Sus scrofa: one gene and its partner. The protein of the gene in region 2 interacts with the protein of the main gene of each other region in a pairwise test. Links are inferred from orthologs where the notes say so. Each region holds a gene or a part of one and is shown on either strand. Other genes may lie near its edges.

Evidence for each region. The genes of interacting proteins can lie anywhere in the genome.
Region 1: the proteins of MKRN3 (region 2) and FAM110A interact in binary tests that used the Homo sapiens proteins (3 or more experiments, as listed by UniProt). The two-hybrid records come from large-scale screens. The link is inferred for Sus scrofa from reciprocal best matches to the Homo sapiens genes MKRN3 and FAM110A.

Annotation. Positions count from the first base shown.
Region 1 is NC_010459.5:34,435,127-34,438,873, reverse strand, and holds the start of FAM110A (protein FAM110A), read left to right. Parts: upstream 1-1,144; 5' UTR 1,145-1,382; exon of another isoform or gene 1,383-3,747.
Region 2 is NC_010443.5:142,498,472-142,502,218, forward strand, and holds the start of MKRN3 (probable E3 ubiquitin-protein ligase makorin-3), read right to left. Parts: upstream 2,498-3,747; 5' UTR 2,371-2,497; coding exon 874-2,370; 3' UTR 1-873. UniProt on the Homo sapiens protein: E3 ubiquitin ligase catalyzing the covalent attachment of ubiquitin moieties onto substrate proteins.

The DNA.
Region 1 (3,747 bases), on a different chromosome or scaffold from region 2:
ACCTGCCCAAGGCATGTCACAGTCAATGCTCAATCACTGACAATCCAATCAAAAAATGAAAAACACCAGTTGGGACGGAAAACAGTCTGACTCCAAAATGAGCAATGCCCTAGACCCAAACAGTGACTCACAGCTAAAAAATTCCCTCATCTGGAAGGGCTGAGTTAATTTTTCTAATTCTCTTTTTAAAATTTGTTTTTTGGAAGTGCCCTTGTGGCACAGTGGGTTAAGGATTTGGCATTGCTGCAACTGTGGCACAGGCTGCAAATGTCATGCAGGTTCAGTCCCTGACCCAGGAACTTCCACATGCTGAGGGTGCAGCCAAAAGAAAACAATTATACTGGTTTAACTGTTGGAAGCTTGGAAAATTCATATCAGCAAAAAGAAGAAATTAACTATTGCACATGTTAATACATAAATGTAGTCCATGTGATATTACAATTACATATTTAATGCATATTTACATTGTACATAGTACTTTGACACAACTTTTAGAAATATAAGACTTAGTGCTTTCCCCATATTTTAACGTCATTCTAAATGACTGCATAATATTTCTCATCAGAAAGTGAGGATAGTTAAAGGTACCTATAACTATGAGCACTGACAAGAGTTGTGTCATGAAAAATTACTTGTAAAAAGCTCTGTAAACTCAGTTCTTCTGCAGGATGGATTTATATATCCAATCTCCTTTTACTGAGCACTGAAGTTATTGCTGTTATTTTGCTACAGTAAATAAAGCTGGGCTATATTAATCTTGTTCATATATTCGGTTATTTCCTTTGTCAATATTGAGAGTGCTGGATATACGCTACTTCAAACTAACCCACTCACTCTGCAGATTGGGGAACAGAGAGGGAAAGGGGCGTGCACGGGCTCACAGAGCGAGTTAGTTGGAAAGTCAGTACTAGGAACCGGGAGTAAGTCCCTGCTGAGCAAGGGCAAGAACCAGAGGCCACTGGGGAGGTGAGAGGCGGTGAGGGGCGGGGATGGACCTCGGTGCCGCCGGCCAGGGCTCACCCTCCTGGCTGAAGCTGAGTGGTCGCCTGGCAACGCGGGCGGCGCGGCGTTCGAACGGAAGCGAGAAACCAATCAGGATGTCCGGGGCAAACCATTCCGGTGTGGTGGAGGGGGGAGCGGCGCGTTCACTTCCCCTTCCCCTGCGTCCCCAGAACTTTACTCTGGTGGGGGCTTGGAACAGTCGAGTCCCCTACCTCCTCTCGGGTGTTGAGGGCAGCTCAGAAGGACCTCCCGTGCTTCCCTACGCGGGGCTGGGGCCTCCCGAGACGCGTTGTGTGCGACCGTTCCCCGCCTGGGTCCGAGCTGTCAGCCTCCTCAAGACCCGCACTGGAGGAGCCGGACTCGCCTAGCGCGGGCTCCAGGTGAGGGCACGGGTGGCCCGGGGCGCCAGCCCGGGTCTAGGGGGTGCTCAGTTCACCCTGCGCCTGCTGTGCGCGTCCTCCCCGCGTGGTACCTGCGGCGAGGAGGTGGTACCCCATTTCACAAATGAGAACGCTGAGGCTCAGGGAGGCAGTATCCTAGTCTAGCAGAGAATCCGATACAGGTCTTTCTGCTCCATACCTCAGTCTCTAGTCTACGTTGATCTAAATAGATCTGCCTTGAGAGGCTCAGATGGGTCACTTTCTTAGCCTCTTATCAACAGGAACATGGACAGTAGAGCCCTGGCTGGAGCCCCATCTGGCTGTCCCTCTCCCGTGTCGTCCTGCGGGGTGGGGGTGGGGGGTCCCCTCCTGGACATCTGTCTTCACTTCTCCAGAAAGCCAGGGGGTGGACTTTGGGCTCACTTGGGATCTTTCTGCCTGTGGGGCTCTGAATTAAGTGCTGTCCCTCTCAGAGGCTCTGGTGGGACTGACATTTCTGGGCTAGGTGCCAGGGGGGGCTGCTCTGGCTCTCCAGTTGTTGTTGGATTCTTGGGAATCTACCACAGGTCGGCGGGAAAGGCTAGAGGCAGCCCCTCAACCAAAGACACTAGTCACCAGAGACTTTGGAGTTGGGGGTGGGCCTGGGATCCCTCCTGGTAGAGCATCTGACCAGGCTCTGTTTCCTGGGGACCCCCACCCCCTATCTCCCACCCCCAGGTTGCTGCTGTTGCTGTCCTTTTGTAGGTGGGGAAACTGAGGGTCTAAGAAGTTAAGCCCCTTGCCCAAAGTCATATGGTCAGACTTGGCAACTCTGGGGCTGGCTCCCAGTCTATCTGGCTTCAATCTTGGATTCCTAGACACTCAGAATGGTGGCATCTGGAAGTCTGGAATCTCTTTAAGTGGAGTTACTTACCCTCTCTCCTCCAAATCCACCTCCTTGGTGGGGGGGAGAGGAGTTCTGGAAGCTCAGAAAGAAAACAAGTCTTTCCTTCATTCTTTTAACAAATATTTACCAACTTCATATGGCCCCACCCTCCCCCTTCTCTATTTTGTTTTTCTCAGTAGCATTTACCGCGCTGATGTCCTATAATTTCACTTATTAGCAAGTTTATTATCTTCTCTGACTGGAATGTGACGCAGGGAGGGGTTGGGCTAAGTGAGGTAGTTACCTCCAGTGCAAAATTGAGGGGTGCCTAAAACCCCAGTAATCAAATGACTAGAGCTAACATTTGTTGATCATTTGCTGAGCGCTCTGCTGGTGGGAGTTCAGTCGATATGCAGCACAGCCCCCCAGCTCTGTCGCAATTACAGGTGCTTCCTCCTGACCTAGCTGTCCCACTTCTAGGTGGAGTGACAGAGGTGCAGTGAGGCTGCAGTGTGGTTTGTAATAGAGAGAGACGACACACATACTTGGTGGCCGTTGCTAGAGGCTGACAGGTTCTTTATGTACTGATGTGGCACAATTAATAACATAATTGATAATATGTTAATAACACATATTAAGAACAATATAACTGAGTTAAAGAGCAAGATGAAAACAGTACAGAGAGCTGTTGCCATATGTGTAAAAAATAGACTATATGTCCATTATTGTTTGTTTGTGACTAACATCTCACTGGGAGGACGTGCAGCTATCTCGTCGCAGTGATGCCTGCAGGGAGGGAAACTGGGGACAGGAGTGGGAGGGAGGTTTTTTTTTTTAACTTTATTCCCTTTAGAGCTTTTGAATTTTGAGCCACATACATATATCACCGGGTTAAAACATATATGTCTTATAGGAGTTCCCACTGTGGCGCAGTGGAAATGACTCCGACTAGGAATCATGAAGTTGTGGGTTCGATCCCTGGCCTTGCTCAGTGGGTTAAGGATCTGGCGTTGCCGTGAGCTGTGGTGTAGGTCACAGATGCGGCTCGGGATCCTGTGTGGCTGTGGATGTGGCAGAGGCTGGCAGCTGTAGCTCCAATTGGACCCCTAGCCTGGGAACCTCCACACGCTGTGGGTGAGGCTCTATAAAAAGGAAAAAAAAATTATATATGTATATATATATGTATTATAGATGATCTAATCATGAGACCACTGTCCTGTCTCTGTTCTGTCACTTGCTCGTGACTTTGGGTAAGTTTCTGTACTTCTCTGGGCCAAGAAAAAAGGCCATGATTGTGAGCTCAGGCCCAGGCAGAGGGCAGCCTGGGACAGGAAGTGGGCTTGGTTGTGGGTCAGTCCCAACCCCACCTTCCTCATCCTGTGTGCCAGGCCCTTCCCAAAGGCTTTGCATGGCAGTATCTCTGCTGCCAGTCCCTTTGTCCTCATCTTGCAAGCTCAGGTGCACACCTGGCGTCCAGAGGATTGAGTGGGCAGAGGTGTG
Region 2 (3,747 bases):
TAATTCCATCACAGGAATTACCAATGTTGGTATTTTGTAAATTCTTTATGATCACAATTGGCTAGAGACACTGAAATAGCTGCTTTCATTAGATGCTAATCACAGAAGCCTGTGAAAAGGACAGAATTATTCACACACCTCACATTCACCCAACATCAAATCTTATCAGCCTTTAACTTTCAGCTTCTAGCTCTGTATGTACTACATAAACATAATAAAATGGTGTATATCTTTTATATTTATCCTCAAATATATCGCTTTCACACACATTAATATGCATATATATAATTCTTAAATATTACTTCCAAATATAAATAATTTCACATCAAGCTAAACAGGATAAAAACATGTAAACATATGCACTTGGTTCTGGTCAAGTAAAACACAAAACCACAAGGTAACCACAAGTTAAAGAGTGCACTTGAAAGGGATGAGAAGCAACAAATGTGTAAACAACAGAGATAAGCAGTTGCACCACAAGGCCCCTCCAGGGTCGATTTCTTAAGGCTGAAGTAGCAAAAAGCTCCTTGTTCAGTTAAGACTTCTCCCTTCACCCTGTCACATTTATTCTTGAGGGGCTTCAAAATGAGTGTGGACATTCTGTAAACACTAGACTAGAACTGAGTCAATCCTGTTGAAAACAGAGATGACAAAATAAACCATAAACTGACAGTCATATTAATTTCACCAAACAATAACTTTAAGGATGTTTTGTGACTTTTTAGCACAGTGAAACACCATAACCCTAGGGGCAAAGAAATGGGAATGGGCAAGAAAACAGAGATGGATGCTCTAAACAAATGGTTTCAGCAGCTTCTGTAAGTGACAGATGTGTCTATAAACACAACACAGGCAAGAGCAGATGACAGAGCCTCAGCACACCATACAACATGCCACAGAATGCCACAGATTCAAATTGAAATATTCTTCCAGCTCACAATGAAGCAAGTCCCACTGGGTCTCTGAGCAGGGGAGCTCATTAGCTCCCCATGAAAGAAAACACTGACACAACAGATTGGCCAGCCAAAGCATGACAAGCTCTTTTTTACAGCTTTTAAAGGGCATGTCGCCCTCTCCCACCTGCGGAGGCTCCAAAAGTTGACCACGCCAAGGACCGGGTGCCCCAGCACCCTGCCTCTGGGGCTCCTCTCCCTGGCCCTCAGGGAAGGCATGTTTGTAAAAACAGTTCTCTTCAAATGGGCAGAACCTGCCTCTTACAAAATACCTGCAGGGCTTGTGGCTCATTGCCTCCAGGTACTGCTGAATAAGTCTCTGCTTCTCTTCCTCCTCCTCCACCCAGAATTCACTGGGAATGACAAAGGTGGAGATGACTCTGCACTGGGGGCAGGACTTGACGACCCAGGTCCCAAACTGTCTGGCACTCCTCCACCTGCGGATACACTTAAGGCAGTAGGTGTGGTTGCAGCTGGAGAGGATGCCAAAGCGGCAATCATTCCGGTTGGCTTTCTCATAGACCACCTCCATGCAGATGCCACACACTTTGTCCGCACTGCGCTGCACGGCAAACGAGAGCTCCATATTCTGCTCATGTGCTTCCATGCAGGCCCTTCTATGGTCTGCCCTCTGAGCACCATCAAAGGGGTGCAAGACCTTCAGCCCACACAAATCGCACATATCTCCATGAAGATACATACAGCTTGGCCCACGAAAGCATTGCCCCATGATAGCATCGCGGCAAAGCTGCTGCCTCTGGCCCAAGGCAAACTGCTCCCTCACAGTCAGCAAGCCCTGTGGAGGAGCCACGTAGATAGGAGGGGCCATGCGGCCTTGGTACGGTTGCCCGGGAACAAACTCAATGGCATGCTCCCAGCCTTCCGCACCTGCTCCTCCCGCAGCTTCAAGGCCTGCATATTCAGTCTCGGCTTCAAAGAAAACCCTCTCAGCAGAGCCAATCAGAGGAAAAGAGCGTGAGGACACAGCCGGGGGGGCTTCCGCCACTTCCTGAGGCAGGGCCTCGGCGTGCGCAGCCGCGCTGGGGCCACTGTCTGTGGAGGCTGGGGGTGGTGAACCGGGGCCCTCCCTGGCCACCTGCCGCCCTGAGAGGTCATGGGAGTATCGACAGTTCTCCCCCTCCTTGCACTGAGCATGCAGATAATACCTGCAGACCACTTCCTTTGTCCAGCTGCCACTGCTCCGGCCCGGCAGCCATCTGGGCCCAGCCCCTCCCCCTGACTCCTGGGCGGGCCTCACACGTGACGGACGGAAGGGGGCTGGGCCTGGAGCCGGAGACCACCGGGAGGTGGGAGGCACCGGAAGGGTGGGCCAAGGCTTGATCTCCCCGGCTGCCTCGATGTCCCCAAATGTCCCAGCTGCCTCGTAGGGTTCTGTGGGAGCTGCAGGCTCTTCCATGGCAGCTTCTGCTCCCCAGAAATGGTACCGGAACTACCCCGGTGTCTCCTTGTGTCAGCCTTGAGGCCCGGAGGCCGGGCGCTAGCTCGGGGCTGATTTTTAGGAAGTGTGCATCTATTTTCTGCTTCCCCCGGTCCCTACTTCCTGTAATTGTGTTCCTACTTCCTTCTCTGGCAGCGCCGGACACTTCCTGTGGAGGCAACATCGGTCCTACATCACTTCTGCACGATCGGTCCGATCGGTCCGTCAGGAATGCTGACCGGCTTCCTTCTTTGTTCGCAGCCAGCAGCGCTGCCCGCTTTCGGCTCAAGCAGCGTCTCCGCTTCTCTGCACGCAGCCCCTGCTCCCCCGCGTCTCTCCTGGGGAAAGGAATCCCAGCCTTTTGAGGTTTTAATTCAATCGCTTCCATTGTTCCTTCCGACACTGTGATTTGAATGCTTTTTCATACATCTCTCTTTAAAGCGTCTAATCCTCGTTTGTTTTAAAGCCCCGTATGTTTAAAAGGGTGTCTTGTTTCTGAAACATCTCGTGCATAAATTTTATAAATGCTTTGTTTGTTCACTCCATTTTATGTCTGTGTGGGTCGTATTTTTTGTCATGTTTATTTATGGGTTTCCTGACTTTCCCTGCTAGCAGCTTTAATCCCTTTAGTTGTGTTGAAAAGACTTGAGACTGCTCTTTGTTTTCTGGAAATTCTTACCGGCTTTTGTTGGAAACGTTTTTTCCCCTGTGAGACATTAGCAGGGAGCGTTTGTGATCTGTGACTGCTTTAGTGCCTGTCAGCTGTCTTAGGTTATTGTGATTTCTAATGCTTCCCTCCCTCTGTGCAGAAGCAGCAGACTTCAGTGGGCTTGATGCTGGCTTAATTAGCCCCTGTGCCCTTTGTGACCCTAGCCTTTATTTTCTCTTGCTAATTTGACTCACAGTGGCTCTTTGTTTCCCCTTCTTTCATCCTTTTTTGTGTGGTATTGTGTTAGACCAGCCTTTCATAGCATATTCTATGCCCTGTAAGCGGTACCTCTTAATTTTGCAAGTGCATTTTATTATATTGGTTAAAAAAGTAAATTCTCAAATATAAAGCATATTTATGGATGGCTACTGAATTTTATCATGTAGTATTCTGCATTTTTTTGAGAGGTTATCATATTATTTTCTCCCTGTCTTGTTGTTGTGATTATTTGCACTGCTAGGTTTTAACTGTTTAACTTACCATTTTTTATTCCAAGAAAAACCTTTTTGTGGTATGATTTATTATAATTTTATATATTATTGGATTTCATTTGCTTAAACAAGTTTCTTGGAGGGAATTTATGGTCTAAATTTATATTTTTAAGTGTAAGAAAGCCTTAATATAGCACAGAAATTAGAAGCAAAGCA